Linked DNA regions of Neodiprion lecontei. The main gene of each other region encodes a partner of the protein of the gene in region 2 in a complex. Links are inferred from orthologs where the notes say so. Each region holds a gene or a part of one and is shown on either strand. Other genes may lie near its edges.

Region 1 (8,753 bases), on a different chromosome or scaffold from region 2:
GTAATGCAACATACCGGGTGCTTCTCTTAGAATGAAACACGCGAGGAAAGTTCAGTTTAATATCGACCGAAGTAAAAATAGTATGGGTCTCTGAAACTGATTGTTAGTATTTACTGGAAACACAAACTCTTGCTTTTGAAATTACAGTAACGGGTTGTCCGTGAATATAGTTTTTTTTTTTTTTTTTTTTTATTTACTTTTTCCTTAAAACTCAATCAGAACACGCAAATTCATAGTTTTAGTCTCGTTCTTTAAAACAAATACAATGTATAATGTAATATTATAAACCCTTCGGTAACAAATTTATATGAAAGTTTGTCATTTGGCATTTTGCTATGCGACCTCTCAAAGTTGCGAGATGCTCGCCGTCCCGTTTATGGACGGATATTGGTGCAAGATGTGGCTGTCGCAAGCACGCGAAGTCCAGACGTGGTCAAGGTAACAAAAATCTGGCCCAGAAGTGTATTATAGAGAGTGAGTGAGTTGACATTTGTCCCTGATATTTATCTCACTGCTATTATACGTACAGTCTCTTTACACAAGACTGTGATGTTAGTTTTATCCTATTTTCACCAGATTTTTCTCGTCTGTCCGATCATTTGGTTATTCCATATATTTTTGGTACAGTTTAATGAAAATTCTAGATGCCTTAGGGAGTTCAAACATGCCGAATAACGAATCTGCCGTACAATGCCACAATGTCGAACCGATCGTAAGCGAGGTGCATCATTGCGAAAAGAGTAGTAAAAAAAAAAGGAAGACGAAACAAAAAAAAAAGTTAATTGCTCACCTTTCACTTACCACAGACGAGTTGATTCGATTCGCAATCAGCAATCTAACGGAACCTTTGCACGGACTGTTGTTTCACTTTTTCTTTTTTTTTTTTCTCAATTTATTTCTTCATTCATTTTCTTCTCTATACCGTCTCGACACCGCATATAGCGTTTCTCCTATTTTTTATGATTAAACTGAAATTTTAACGCTTCGTTAAAGAAACTTCTCATTCGGTACAGTTTATTTGTAATTTTTTTTTTCAAAAGTATGCTATGTACCCAATTATTAAACGATTTCACAACATTCGTCTTTGTTTCCTATAGGCTTTTAGTTTATTTTAATTTTATTTTTATCATTTAAAAGAGGAAATATATAAAGTGGAAAAAACTTATGAAGAACGATTGTCCGTCCCGGTCTTTTCATTCTCCAAATGGCATTCTATGTAATATTATATGTACCAAAGTTTCGCGTCTTGATCTTTTCTGCGACGAAACTTTCCGTAACAAAATTCGACACCGTTGCAGCTGAAACCAGGAGAAAACTCCGCTCTTGGATAATATAAAAACCTTCTGACGTGGGCTAACTTTGTCGGACAATATGGTGATTCGTTTGAAATACGGTACAACAATAGATAACTTTCAACAATGAAAACTCTGTGACGTACGTTACACATGATCTCGCGTATTAAATTCAACGCATAACAATGTAACCTGCGAACGCTCAGGTGTAGTTGAAATTTGCACGTATAACGTAGTGAAATGATATGGATATAAACTTGCTGTATACCCGATGTAATCAAAGTCTCGAATTGCTTCTGTATAAATCGCGGATGGCAAAATACCGCGTGCTTTGTAACACGTGCTGCATGCACAGAATCCACCTTCGCTGTACGTGCAGTGAGAAAATATTTACCGATGTTGCGTGGTAACATTGATTAAAGCGAGCTTACACTGTGAATCATTGGAGATGAAATTTCAACTTGGAATCATCAATTTTTAGTCGTGCAACTTGAGCTCGATTGCATAAAAAATTGAGCCAAAGCTAGCATTTAGAGTTAGCAACCAAACGTGTTGGATTTTTTGTAAATATAAAAATGCCGTTCAGTTTTATCCTGATAATTCTATAAAAGTATCGGAGATTCATGGTATTTCACAAAATTTTATTATTTGGTCTTCAACTCTACCCTATTCGATTGAACATTAAAACGTTTGGCTGTTAATTCCAGCTGCTAGGTTCAGCCTCGTGCATAAAAAGTCTCCTACAGTTTTACGTATACGCTTGAGTTTGTCAACTATGTTTAAGTGCCGATGAAACACATTGTTAAATAAATTTTCAACGCATTACATATGAATTGCAAGAGCTCTAAATGTGAAGGTTGTAATCCATTTAAAATAAAAATGACAGTACGTTGCCTTTTTGCATTTTAAATCTTGAATTTTTTATCGGCTTGTACAATACATCCTTAAAAACGACCTATAACATAATCTTCGTTAATAACGTGTTACAGCTGTTGATTTACGCGATGGTTGAATTTAGAAAGGTTACGGGTCGTCTTGACACCTGGATATTGCGTCTTTTATTACAGGCAACTACCCACATTAACCCGGCATAGCAATATATATATACTGACGTTTGTTTTTTCGACCATTGTTACAGGTATAAAGCGAGTCGTTGCGTTAGCGGGGGCGGAAGCCGCGGCAGCGGGGCAACTGGGGCAACTGGAGGAACCGGGGGAAGCGGGGGTCTTGGAAGCGGGGGGGCGGTAGGAGGCCGCGGAGGGGGAGGAGGCGGAGGAGGGGGAGGCGGAGGCGGAGGCGGAGGCGGAGGAGGCGGGTTGGACGGGGGTGCTACGCCACCGGCCACCGGGTATCACCACCACCACCATCACCACACAACTACGACGACGACGACGACGACGACGACAGGGACACGCCACCACAGACACAAGCTGCCCGCGGGGAAGCTGTGCAGCGATCACCGTCACCACCCTCACCATCACCGGCATCATCCCCACCATCGATCCCACCACCGTGGCATGAACATGGGCCAAAAGATTTCAGGTCAGATTATATATTCGATTGGGTTTAAGAAACTTTTCCGATCCGTATTACGGTGGCTCGGATTTATACGTTATACGTATGGTTTTATTTGCGGTATCATGAAGAGCTAGTCACCCCTGAGGAAATCAACACGGAAAATAACCACAGTTTTATAAATTAGATTTAGTGTGTACCCGCGCGCGTTTCGAAAAGTCGCGTAGCTTGGAATCGAATCGGAGATGTGATTTTTTGCCGCAAATCGAGGAACGCAATTAAACTTGGATGATATGTTTCAGCGTGTTATGTATGATATGACGATGTTCGAATTGGAAACAGCGTATACACGACGGACGGGATTGCATTTTGAAAGTTGCGATTGACCCTAACATCGTATTAAAGTTTCCAAACGTATGTGGTTGAATTTACGATGCACGAACTGTTGAAAATTTTTTTCATTTTTTTTCATTTTATCGAACAGAGATCAGTCGACGAGTTGTACCTTTGTGAAAGTTTTTCCGTTGTTACGTACTACGTATAACAATACACACGTAGACGATGCATCATAGAAGGAGGATGTAGAGCGCAAGAAGGATCGGTGTTAATCTTAGTCGACATCAAGGGCTGCCTTGACACCTTCCAGCTGTGGTGTCGTATCGAAGAATTTACGATTGCGGCGAGGATCAGGGCCTAGTTTATTATACCCTAGAAATCGAGATGGGCCACGGGGTCAGAGCTTTGGGGGGGGGGGGTTCGTCGGGGCCTCGAAAGAGACTTCTGCACGGAGGGTTGGCTACCCTCCACGGCCGAAGGTTCGACCCTTCGAACCTTTCAGACCGCAGAGACAGCTGCGCAAGCAAGTACCGCACTTCAGCCTCCCTGTATTTCCTTCTCGCCCTGCAGCCTTCGGCTCAGACGTCGACCTTCTTCTTCCAAAGAGATATATTATACGTTATACTACGGTTTCCGAGGGATCTCGAGAACCACGAGTTCCCGGCTTCTTTACCCCGAGGGCGGGATTCTACGAGACACTTTCCTGATGTACAAACTCACGGACGGAGACCTGTGCAATCGTGCCACTGTACCTTAGTTTTCCTCGATTCACGTCCTGCCCTAAATTCTCAGATATCAGGTATTTTGAATCCTTGTTATACTTTCTCTCGGGTGGTTCTTGAACAGTTTGTTGTTACTGTGTATTAAATTAATTCTACTACAGATAGGTATTTTTTCACATCTTTTTTGACTAAGCTATCATGCTGTGATTTCTGTTTGTTCCTTTACCACGGAATTTCATTGGTCACCCTCAGACCGTAACCGCAATCGATTCTTCCGTTACGTCCCAGCCGATAATCACGGCGGTATCGTCTCTGCGTCGTAACTTACTGACGTGCAATCGCCATAAAAGAGCTCTTCCAAATCGATCTACACAGTTAACACCATAGTTAACAATACTTTTCTATCGACAATTCTCACAGATCATACCATATTTTATTTTACAAACCCTGCTCACATCTACGCTCAAATCTACGAGCAACTTATACATAAAATTCACATTTAACTATTATATCTTTGAAACGCATGATCAGAATTCGCAAACCTCGGAGTAACGAATAGCCACGATAGTGATAGTGATGGTTGGCACGACCCACAACAACCCAATTCCTGATTTAGACAAGCTGAATGAGAAATCGACACGAGCGGATCATCGAAGTTCGTGAACCTGGAGACAACGAGGTCTGTAAGTCGAGCTTGATAACGCAGTAACACTTCCTACCCAGCAGCAATTTTTCGCCAAACGTACAACACAAATTGTCGATTATTTCCCATTTCATTCGCTTTTGCGATCGCGGTGGTACAGGTTTCGTTTCATCGTCGGTGCAACTGAAGGATTGACAAATTTTTTACCGCATCAGAAACACCGGTCGTCATCTTGACGACTATCGTAGATGAAATGTCACCTACTTCCTCGATTTGGCGCCCATGGACAGGTGCTTGAAATATGGAAACGAGCGTGAATGCCTCCGCTGGTTCGTTTTACATACGCTCAAGTCGGAAAATATCTGGCATATCAATGAGACATAAAACAGGCGAGACTGAAGAAAAAGAAACATAAATCTAACGTATGCAGTATCGCATTGCGTGTCAGCCGTACGAGAGTCAGATATTTCAATTTCGGTCAAAAGTTCACTCCGATAAGTGCGTCTCGAAAAACGATAGAAGCGCGTTTGGCTCTTTCACGTTCCACCGAAAGCGAAACTCACGCATATACGTTGGGTTAAAATAACGTTAACGACGGCGCAAGCAGGGCACGTGGAAACGTGCAAAGGTGCGTATAGGTAGGTACAGGTACCGATATGTCGACAGTGATGTTTGCGCAGCCTTGTAATTGGCAGACTGTGTTTGCAAAATGAAGGCTCTCAACAAATATTCTACGCGCTGTAGTTTAAATGCTGACATTCCCGATCGGTGCATGTGTGACATAAATTCGGGACCTTCGGAACGATAGGTAAAGAGAGAGCGCGTATCGCACGTACATGGAATATATGCCTTCGTCAAAAATATTGCAGTATTAAAGCGACGAACAAATAGCAATAGTCTGTATGTACTAGACCTACGTCTAGGCGACAGAATCATGGCAGCTGTGCAATTTTTTTTCCTCCGGTTTTTTGCGTCTCCATCCCTCTTTCTCTCTCTCTCTCTCTCTCTCTCTCTCTCTCTCTCTCTCTCTCTCTCTCTCTCTCTCTCTCTCTCTCTCTCTCTCTCTCTCTCTCTCTCTCTCTCTCTCTCTCTCTCTCTCTCTCTCTCTCTCTCCCTCCCTCCCTCCCCCTCACTCTTGGTCTCCCTAATTCATGCATACGTGGAATTACAGGCGGCGTGAAGAGCGTGACACGTGACAGCGGTGCGGGAACTGGAGGCGGCGTAGGTGTTGTTGGCAGCGGAGCAGTCACGTACAAGCCTGTTGTACCCAGAGAACTGGCGCAGGATTTTTCGCGTCCAGCTCGCCTGGATGTCCTCCTCGACATGCCGCCCGCTTCGAGAGAGACGCAGATCAGTCATAGCTGGAACGCCGATGACCGTAGTCTCAATATATTCGTCAAGGTAGGTTTCGGAAAAAATTCCCAGAATAGAGGATACCTTCGTCTTTCCCGGATGAGAATGACCCTTTTCACTCTTCTCAACATTCCGCAGTGTAGTTGGTTTTATCGGAGTTTAAAGAAAAAAAAAAAAATTTCAGGATGACGACAAGTTGACGTTTCATCGCCACCCCGTAGCGCAGAGCACGGATTGCATACGAGGGCGCATCGGGTACACGAAGGGTCTCCACGTGTGGGAATTACACTGGAGTACGCGACAGCGAGGAACGCACGCTGTTGTCGGTGTGGCGACCGCGGAAGCACCCCTTCATAGTGTCGGCTACCAAAGTCTAGTGGGCAACAATCAGCTCAGCTGGGGTTGGGATCTAGGTAGAAACAAACTCTATCACGATGCGAAAAACAATAACGGAGTGACGTATCCTGCCCTTTTGAAACCGGATGAAACTTTCATCGTTCCTGACAAATTTCTGGGTGAGCTTTTTTTTTATCAAGTCTACTTTTCTTTATTCTCAATGTTTTCAAAGCTTTCGAGGATTTAACTGGCACAATTTCGAACCGTGCTTATTGAGTCTTGCGAAAGTAAATCGTCAAATTTGGTCAATTTTGTAATTATAAAAAGGAATAGCAAACTTTTACGACAATAGTTAACGGGAGTACAATTTCAGTGGTCCTGGACATGGATGAAGGTACGTTATCCTTCGTTGTAGACGGTCAGTACTTGGGAGTAGCATTCAGAGGACTGAAAGGAAGAAAACTTCATCCGATAGTTTCAGCAGTTTGGGGACATTGTGAAATCACGATGAAATACATCGGAGGCCTTGATCGTGAGTCTCGGAGTAATATTTATTTCAAATCATTCATTACCGAACTTCGAAGAGAAGTAACTTCATCGCGCTTTCATTGAATTTACAGCCGAACCTCTACCCCTGATGGACCTCTGCCGGAGAGTAATTCGAAAACGGGTCGGTAAGCAGAGACTAGAGGTCAGAATCAACGAGCTAAGACTGCCCCAGGCAATAAAAACGTACCTCCTCTACCGGGACAGAAGGTAACCACAGAGTGATCTTCCGGCTTCATCTCGCATCAGCATCAGCAACTACGACCACGACACCAACAACCATGAAGTGACAGAGATAATAGATGATGATAGTACCATTGCCGATGATACGCAACGGGAAGCATTTACAGTAATCTCTCCCGCCTCTGATCGACTGAATTCTTAGAAAAAAGACCACGTGTGTCGCGAACGGTCATTAATCGACAAGACACACACGCCGCACCTAAAAACTGAATCGAAATTCCAAAGTTCTTTATTATTTTTGTAATTTTGTTGTTTCTTTCTGTTTTTCGAGTTGGATTGGGTCGGGAGTTGGGTCAATCGAGGAAGATCGATTATTAATATTAAGTCTAGTCTGTCGTGTTTCTCTTTATAGTGTTCGATAATACGCATCAGCAGCACACAACGTGCGTAGGATCCTCTATACATATATATATACATACACACAAATATATATACATGTGTGTGTATGTGTGTGTGTATACGTATATATATATATATATATACACGTGCATACACAGTTATATGGTATATATATATATATATAATCTTCCAGACGACTGTCTAAAATATCTAGACAGAAATGGTTAAAATAAAGTAAAACAAGAACAAGAAATGAACTAACTAATAAGAAAAAGAGAATTTTCCTCTGCCAAAATTTATAGTAACAAAAATTGGGTTTATACACGTTGAAGAAATTGGAAAACAAAATGAATCAGCAACAGTTGCAAGTGTTGTCAGATAATTATAGTGGCATTAAAGGTCTTATGGAAAACAGTATCGATACCTACATCTACTGTAAAGAATTACTCTTCTTCCTTCGAACGCTTCGGAAAAAAAAAAAGAAAAAAAAGAAAGAAGGAAGTTAGTACACTTCGCCGAAGAGACAATGAAGAAAGAACAGATGAAAATTTGTTGGAAAAAAAAAAATACCCAGAAAAAAACTTTTAGAAAAAAAAAAACATTAAATGAATTAATTGAAGAAACGTATGCACAAAAAGCTAAACTATTAGGTGATATTATTGTTTTATGTTGTCCTTACGATTAAAATCGTAGAGCATTTATTAATTGTTATTACACCAACGGGATTGCGTTGGACGCTTCACATCACATGTATCCGCGTTTTTTTTAATTTTTTTGTTTAATACGTTGTTAGATTATAAAAGAAAAATGAAGATTTAAAAAACGCGAAAAGCCAAAATTGTAACGTGTTCGCGTAAAGGTGATGTGTGGGGCAGATCACAAGTAAAACCGGTTCGGGGGTGAGGGAGAGATACCAAAACACACGAACATTTTTGATCAGCAACTCGGCGGCGCTCCACGGTTGGCCAGTAAAATAAAAAGTTAGACTTAGTCGAGCCCGGATGCCGCAAAGCGCGAGTTTCTTTAATCAAATGAACGACAAAAGAAGAAAAAACCAAACAGAATGACCCAAATAAAACCAAACTTTGTAATTTTAACGGGAATGACCAGCAACGACGAATAGTAGTGAGGGAAGAGAGTAAGAGAAGATGACAAAAAAATTATAAAATGAAATCTGTGTGTAGTAGTGTGACAACTGCAGCTGAAATCGCCTGAGCCACCTTTTCAACGGACTCAAATTTGTTTCAAGTATTTTATAAGTATGCTCTAGATGTAACTAACTGCAGTGGTAAATCTTAGCAAGGAGTCAGAAATGACGGGAGATTGAAGGAAATGGTTGGCATAAAGAGCGAGAAAAAAGAAGAGGGAGCGAGCGACTGATATCTAGAGAAATAAAAGTGGAGAGAGAGTGGTAAAGAAATCGAAAGA
Region 2 (7,523 bases):
TTAAGCACAATATAAACTTCCTTGTAACCAATAAACTGTTGCGTGATCGAAGGAAAAACTGTTTTGCTTTCAGGGCCGTATGCCCTTTGTGCGCGCAATGAGCATGGAACAGCGATGGCAGGATTTGGCTTCACTACTTTCGCTTCCGGGTGCTCCGGACCACTTCGCTCATCCGGGACACCCAGGATATCCAGGCCACGGTATATCACATAGCCACTACGAGGCACAGCGTAACGTATTGCTGCACAATGCAACTCTCGCCCCACCAGTCGGAGATCTCAACTCAACCGGACCTTATCCTCATCATAATGTTGGTGAGTATCGTCGATGTTGAATTTTGCAGCGTATCGCTACACAAAATCAGCATTCCGTTTCCCTGAAAATATTTTATTTAAGAAGAGTTCCGTCCCTCGTAACAAGTGAAGTATTCAACAATATCCACGATCAATGTTGTAATCAAAGTATACGATACTAACTCGGTTTTGCTAACGATAAGAAAAAATCAAAAAATAAATTTACGTTGCTATTTCGTTTGAATTTTTTTTCTCCCTTTTGTCTGAACTAAACTGCTCACTGATGCAGGGGGTCCGTCGAATCTTGGATCAGCAGTGGCGACTTCGATGAATTTGACCAACAGCAGTGAACCAATGGGTGGAGCGGACAATTCTGGTTCTTACAAGGCTGAGCCGAACGATATGATGTACTACCATGCACCCTCCTCGGATTCCATTAACCAAACCACCGATGGATTCCTTTCGTCGCTCCTCAACGATGAGGACTTGCACCTCATGGACATGGCCATGAACGATGGTAAGTACCCTTGTGTTTCGCTACATGATACAAACAGCATTAAAAATCCTTCAAGTGGTGAGAAAAACCAGTATCTACGATGTTTTTGAACGAGATGAAATTGGGAATTTTGATTGCATGGATAAGATTCTTTCAGAAATAACTGTGTGAATAATAATCACTCGACGTGAATGAAATTCAAAGTGGCTGAATCGTAATGTAAAACTTGAATTTATCTTGTGTCAAAACTTGAAAGAAAAATTCATTCAACTCATCAATTGATTAACTACTTTTTGATACGTCGACAAATTTTTCACTTCATACAACTTATAATGCGATCTGGGAAAGGATATTTGAAATGAAAGTAATCATGAGACACGAATCATTAATTATAAAAGAAAATTTATTTTATTATCATAAAAAAAGGTATATAAAAATAATCCCACAAAAAAACAATATTTTTTGTCAACGCGAAGAGGTTATGATACACCGCGGAAAGAAATTTATTCAAATTGTTCATGTGTCGCCAGATTTTTACTGACTCTATTTAACTGAACACCAGATAACTCTCATTTTAAAATGAAATTTTGTAATGAGTCAATATGTTATAATAAAACTAAGAGAATATTAATCATTTGTGGTGACACGAGACCCTTGAATAAATTTTTTTTTTTCAGATGTATACAGCCCAAATCAAAAAAATGTGTTTATCAATCTTTAGCGGTCAAATCCAGACTCGCTTACTAACGTAACATCTTAAAATACTATCTTTGTACGTTTAATGGTAAATTTAGTGCCTAGCACCCATCCACTTGTCACGTAAAGCTAAGTGTTTATAGCTTTACATTTAGTCTTTGCTCAAATCGCTTATACCTAATTAGACTTATTGGCTAGATCTAAATGTGGAATATATGTTACATTCCTGGTATCACTTGGTATGTATCACTTGGTATGTATCACTACCATGCTTCTTCAGCTTCGGCGGGAGCTGAAGCGTAAGCGCTCTCTGGGTATGAGTCCCCCTCTCCGCCATCATTTTCAAACTGTAAAACAACAAAATTTCGAATCAGATCAAAGTACTTCACAAACTTCTTTAAACTTGAATACCGCAGCAGTTTATAAAAATAATTAATACGTTTTTAAATATTTGACGTTCATTATCCAGTTCTAGTCAAAACCCAGATTGCTGTATACATTCCTAAAATAATTTTTACTCACTCTGCGAACGTCTCTGCCACCAAACTTGCTGGATCTGCCTGGAGCATAGCTGCCCCCTCCACCACCAGATTCGAGCCACGCTGGAATTGATTGGTTAGCCTGCTTCAAAATCTTGACTAGATCAACTACGATCCCTGAATCTGTTTCCGAGTCAAAGAAACTCGTTGCACGGCCGCGATTGCCAACACGCCCAGTACGACCAATACGGTGAACGTACTCATCGATTTCCTTGGGCATGTCAAAGTTAATGACGTGGGCCACACCTTTGATATCAAGACCTCTGGCAGCAACGGCCGTTGCAACTAGAATCGGCATTTTTCCAGATTTAAAATCACGAAGTGCATCCTCTCTCTCCCGCTGTTCACGGTCACCATGAATAGAAGTCGTTGGATAATTGTTGTCTGATAGAAATGCAGCAATGAAATCTGCCGTACGTTTCATTTCCACAAATACTAGTGTACGTTGAATCTCGCCTTTATCTTTCTCGGCTTCCAAGGTTTCCCTCAATTTTTCTCGTTTCTTAAACTTGCTAACCTCGTAAAAGTTCTGCTCGACATCTTGGCAGGCTCCACCAATTATCCCGACAGCAAGGAACAAATAGTTATCCATGAATCGGCCAGCTAATTCTTGGATCGCGGCAGGGAATGTAGCAGAAAACATCAAAGTTTGTCGATCTTTTCCTTTTACCATAGATTCGTCATCCAGAATCTTTTCTATGTCTCCTATAAAACCCATGTCTAACATCCGGTCAGCTTCATCGAGAACAAAGAAGCGCACAGAATTGAACTTCACGCATCCTCGTTGGACGAAATCCATTAGTCGACCGGTTGTCGCAACCAATATGTGGCAGCCACGGAGCACTTGGCTTCTCTGGTGACTGGTTGCAGTCCCTCCATAAATATTGACACACCTCAGAATGGAATCTTTTGCAAACTTTCTCGCTTGATCGAAGATTTGCGTAGCAAGCTCACGTGTAGGCGCGACTATGACAGCTTGTGGTTCACAATGGAAGTTATCAACCACCAATTCTTTCGGCTCGTTCAATAGTGTGTTCACAATTGGTACCATAAATGCCGCAGTTTTTCCAGAACCAGTTTGAGCACAGGCCATCAAATCTCGATTTTGCATGACTATTGGTATCGCATACTTTTGAATAGGCGTAGGCTTTGTATATCCTGATTTCCTGATGTTCTCTAATAGAAGGCTTCTCAGGCCAGCTTCGTCGAAAGTGTTTATAGGTTGTGGTGCATTTTCACCACTAACGCTTACTTCAATCTTGTCGTACGCATCAAAATTTATCCCCATCTCTACGCCAGTACCAAAAATGTCTGCGTCTTCATTTGATGGTTCCGGCGGAATATAGACAACAGGTGCTGGTTTGTCTCCATTTTCTTCTCCGCCACTGCCCCCACCATTGTCGTCATCTCTCCTACCACCTCGACCTCCACCTCTCCCACCGCCTCTTCCTCTGCGAGATCCTCCATCCTCGCCATTAGCATCCTCATCTGCATCGGCATATCTACTTCCACCGCGACCACCTCTGTAACCACCTCTTCCTCTGCGGGATCCTCCATCGTCACCGTTATTGTCATCATCCCCATCTCCATATCTACTTCCACCATCACGGCCTCCTCTGTAAGCACCACCGCCTCTTCCACCCCCACGTCCTCTGCCTCCACCTCGACCACCACGTCTGTCCGAGTCCTCATGTTCCCCTCCATTGTCAAATCCATTGGTGCTTTCTCCTCCCCATTCACCGTTATTACTTCGTGGTTTGAAACCACGACCCTTGCCATAGCTGCGTCCCTCGTCAGTATACTAATTCAGAAAAATAAAAACTTGGGATTAGTTAAAATTTGAACAAAGTTGCACATATGGCTGCAGATAAGCATGAGAATAATATTGTAGGAACGGAATGAAAAGAAAAATAAAAAATTGCAGACTATTTTACTCAGGGTTTAGATTTCTTTCAAGCTCATCACACTCAATGCAAATGAGAAGGAAAAACAGAACAGCAGGAGGTGTACACACCCGATATACACAAGATATGCCAGACTCCCTTCCCAATACACATTGGTAGATTGCTTAACAAGCACTTTCCAACTGCGAATTCAACTTTATAAGATATCAAAAGAATATATGTTGTATCATCATTTAACTTGTTTTAAATTAAATTCATTTGACTTTTAAGACCTTTTGAAAATCAAGCCCAATCATTAATACAGATTCAGAGAATATTCTCACCTCTCCAGTACATACTGGCGTAGAGTCATTATCGTCCCACTCGTCCATTATTGAGCCTAGCGAGGGAAGAAAAATTAATTACTTTTAAAATAAATTTTTGATGAAATTTTCAAGATTCACTATCAAGAGAAGTTAGCCAAATTCAAGCATGTTAATTAATAATCACAGTCCTATCGAAATCGTGATTTGGTACACAGAAGATAATAGTGGTTTTTTCACAATCGGATTAACTTATTTTGGTGAATATTTCAAATGTGTACAAATGAAGTATAATTTTCTCTTTTACGTTAGCTTCATCATCTGTTTGACGAATTTTTCACTGACAATATATACCGATTATCGTTTGATGTGTCGTGATGATACTCAGAGATTGACAAAGTATTTTTAGTTTCACTTGACCCAAGATTTCTAATAATTCAACAAATTCGTATTCTATGACGCGTACGTTTCGCTAAAGTATCAAGTGGACCACGTGGGGGAACAGCAAAAAAACATTCGTTTTCAAGAACCCGTCGTACTAGTTTTAAAAATCGCGAATTATAATGTGAGAGGTTGACACGCTCGATAGTTTCGTATGGGCTTGACTCGCAGTACAATCAGCTTGAATAATTTTATTCTATAATTATCTAGTAGACACGCGGAGGTTGAAAAAATAGCACGATCGCAAAGGGCAAAAAGTATCTTGCAAAATTTTACCACCTGAGAATGTAGAACTAAACCGAATTTGATGAAAATCAACCCGGTCAAGTCACGGTTATACGTGGTGATTTATAATAACCGATAGTAAGTAAAAGGATCAATCGTGAGAAGTGTCGACTTTTCGAAAGACGGAAGGGTGAGGAATCGTGGAATTTTCGAGAAGGATGCCAACACGTGCTGGAAGAAATCATTCGATTCGGCACTGCACCTGGTGTATTTTAGGAAACAATGATGGCGTACTTACTAGGTGTGTATTTCGCGTAGATAGAATGTTTTTCGATAAGATTACAGCTAACAGGATCGTCAACTGGCAAATAATATCTGCTTCACAGATAGATGCCTTCTCTTCCGAAAGCGTAGACGTAGTGTTGTGCCGATCCTACAGCAAACAAAACTCGCAACGTCTCACGGGAGAAAAAGACAAGCTCAACGGACAAAGCGTCGAGCCAATCTGACTCGGCAACTTCAGGCTTAACCGGTTCCCGCCGCCGTGTATCGAACCCACCGAACCTTCCCAAACGCCGTATTGCGCATGCGTCAATCCAAACTGCGACTCATGCCGCAAGGGCGTCGCTAACGGAGGCGTTTCAGCACTGCGCAAATATTCTGTTCCATACTTCGGACCGTTGAATGAGAATAACGCCCAATCAACATCGAGAATTACTTCTGGATCTACCTAAAGGTACTTTCCGATTAAAAACAGTAATTCTCATCGTAACTACAACGGCTACTATCTTTTCGCACAAATTTTCTGAATCAAATCAATTCGAAGTAAACGTTGCAATATATCGCTATAGATATATCAATGACATCGGAGCTGGATCCTGCTGAAAGATCTGTGTTTTAGTAAATTGTTATCATTGCTGAAGCTTCCATCGTGCAGAGTTCATATCGGGATAACGAATTCACTATGGTTGTTGTGATAGGTGTGGCAGCGCTGAAGCGTACGATAAATAGAGAGAGAAGAAAGATCAGAGACGAATTTCTCTTCCTGTAGGACGTACGTCGTTCCAGAGAGACAGAGATGGCTCCCCGATCTTTTTTCTCTGTCTCTATTCTACATGAACGAATCAGATGGAAGACTTGGAACGCAAATCGGTTATTTCTTATCAAACCTCAAACCAGATCGGCTGACCCAATTAGTATCGTGCTCAACTGAAATTGAGCGTACGAGGCCGTCAACTCGTAAACGTAACTTATTTACAGTTCGTGTACTGTGAGCTGAACATTTGTAGGGTGGGATGTTTTTGAATTTCGTAAATTTGGTCAAATATTCATAACAGCTCAGATCTACGGATCAGTTGTCTTATAATTTATGCTTTATTTCTGTATAACATCACGCAAATTTTTCTAAAAACAAAAAAATTAAACCGTTAAAGATAAAATCGAGCATTATATATCATTCAATTTTTATCGATATATTTACATTCACACACGATTTAAGATCTGTAATATAAGCGTGAAACAGTGAGCCCCAAAACTATTCCATTGGCATTTGAATTCTGGATTAAACAACGTAATGCAAAGAATGATATAACGTTTTTCCACAATTTCACGTAGCGTCTGGAGGAAAACATAGGCAGAGACGAGCGAACGATATCTGTTTACAATTATTTGAACAGCTTTACGCGAATTGGTCTATATTGTATGAATACGTATCACACGTAACCTAGATTATGTACCCAGAATCATGTGTGGGTATCCTTAACTGAACTCGTAACGGGCCATTAATTTTGGAGAGGCAAGCGACGGCGGAGGCGGGGGAGGATCGGGGGGTGGGGGAGGGTCATATTAAGTAATTCATATTTTTATCTTTCATGAGAAGCACTGCACGGCAACAGTAGAAGTACTGTCGTACATACATAAAATGCTGACTCATTGCCAGTACTATTTTACAATGTGCTTCGCAGGCCGCAATGTCCTTGCAGTTCTATGTTTGTTGGGATGTTGCGCATATGCAAATAGTAACCACATCAAAGTCTCGGTAAGGCGAAGATTGTAGGTACAGTCGTTACTCGAAATCTGTACACGATAAGTATACGCCGCTTACGGTATTGTAAACAATGTGGGTGAATGCAGCGTCTTTGACTGAAAGAAAAAAAAATATGTCTCCTCATGTTCACTTTTCCTCTCGCGTATTTTTTATTCCCATATCGCCGAAGTTATTGGAGCTCTCGTTTCAAAGTGCCTACGCGATTATTTCAAGCGACAATACATTGTCGCTATCTTTAACCACAGATATCCTCGTGACCTTTTCAGCTGAAGCTTACAGCACGTCAAGAGAACTGCGAGTACCAGCCTCACGTTGCATACAAAGTTGCTGATTATCGTATTATGATTATACTGCATGGGAAATCATTCGATATATATATACTTAAACAAGGAGAAACTATAATATGTTGTTGTTGTTGTTACTATATAACGAACACCAAGCACAGCGTTAGCCATTTGCATATTCTCATAACTGTGACAATTGCTGGCAGTCTGATGTTTTTGCGAGAATGAGAAGTAAGATATCGGTCAACGCCGTTATCAGAAAATACGTATATTTTTTTTATAGGGCAGGCAATGGC

Evidence for each region. Proteins that work in one complex are often made in the same cells at the same time.
Region 1: the proteins of ATP-dependent RNA helicase vasa (region 2) and protein gustavus are in contact, whole or in part, in a crystal structure (PDB 2IHS), measured with the Drosophila melanogaster proteins. The link is inferred for Neodiprion lecontei from reciprocal best matches to the Drosophila melanogaster genes vas and gus. Residues at the interface, in NP_001260458.1 of Drosophila melanogaster: Asp184, Ile185, Asn186, Asn187, Asn188, Asn189, Asn190, Val192, Glu193, Asp194, Val195, Glu196; in NP_001246140.1 of Drosophila melanogaster: Ser64, Leu65, Asn66, Arg79, His80, Pro81, Val82, Ala83, Ser85, Asp87, Gly112, Thr113, His127, Tyr131, Val218, Trp219, Gly220, His221.

What each region holds. Positions count from the first base shown.
Region 1 is NC_060260.1:35,167,253-35,176,005, forward strand, and holds protein gustavus, read left to right. Parts: upstream 1-2,572; 5' UTR 2,573-2,809; coding exon 2,810-2,834; intron 2,835-5,679; coding exon 5,680-5,909; intron 5,910-6,045; coding exon 6,046-6,376; intron 6,377-6,570; coding exon 6,571-6,729; intron 6,730-6,817; coding exon 6,818-6,957; 3' UTR 6,958-7,842; downstream 7,843-8,753. UniProt on the Drosophila melanogaster protein: Involved in the localization of vas to the posterior pole of the oocyte. Required maternally in the germ line for efficient primordial germ cell formation.
Region 2 is NC_060265.1:29,908,580-29,916,102, reverse strand, and holds ATP-dependent RNA helicase vasa, read right to left. Parts: upstream 5,334-7,523; 5' UTR 5,195-5,333; exon of another isoform or gene 4,308-5,194; 5' UTR 4,300-4,307; coding exon 4,252-4,299; exon of another isoform or gene 4,034-4,251; intron 3,826-4,033; coding exon 2,008-3,825; intron 1,833-2,007; coding exon 1,749-1,832; 3' UTR 1,175-1,748; downstream 1-1,174. Other genes in the region: segmentation protein cap'n'collar, read left to right, coding at 74-314, 583-810. UniProt on the Drosophila melanogaster protein: Involved in translational control mechanisms operating in early stages of oogenesis.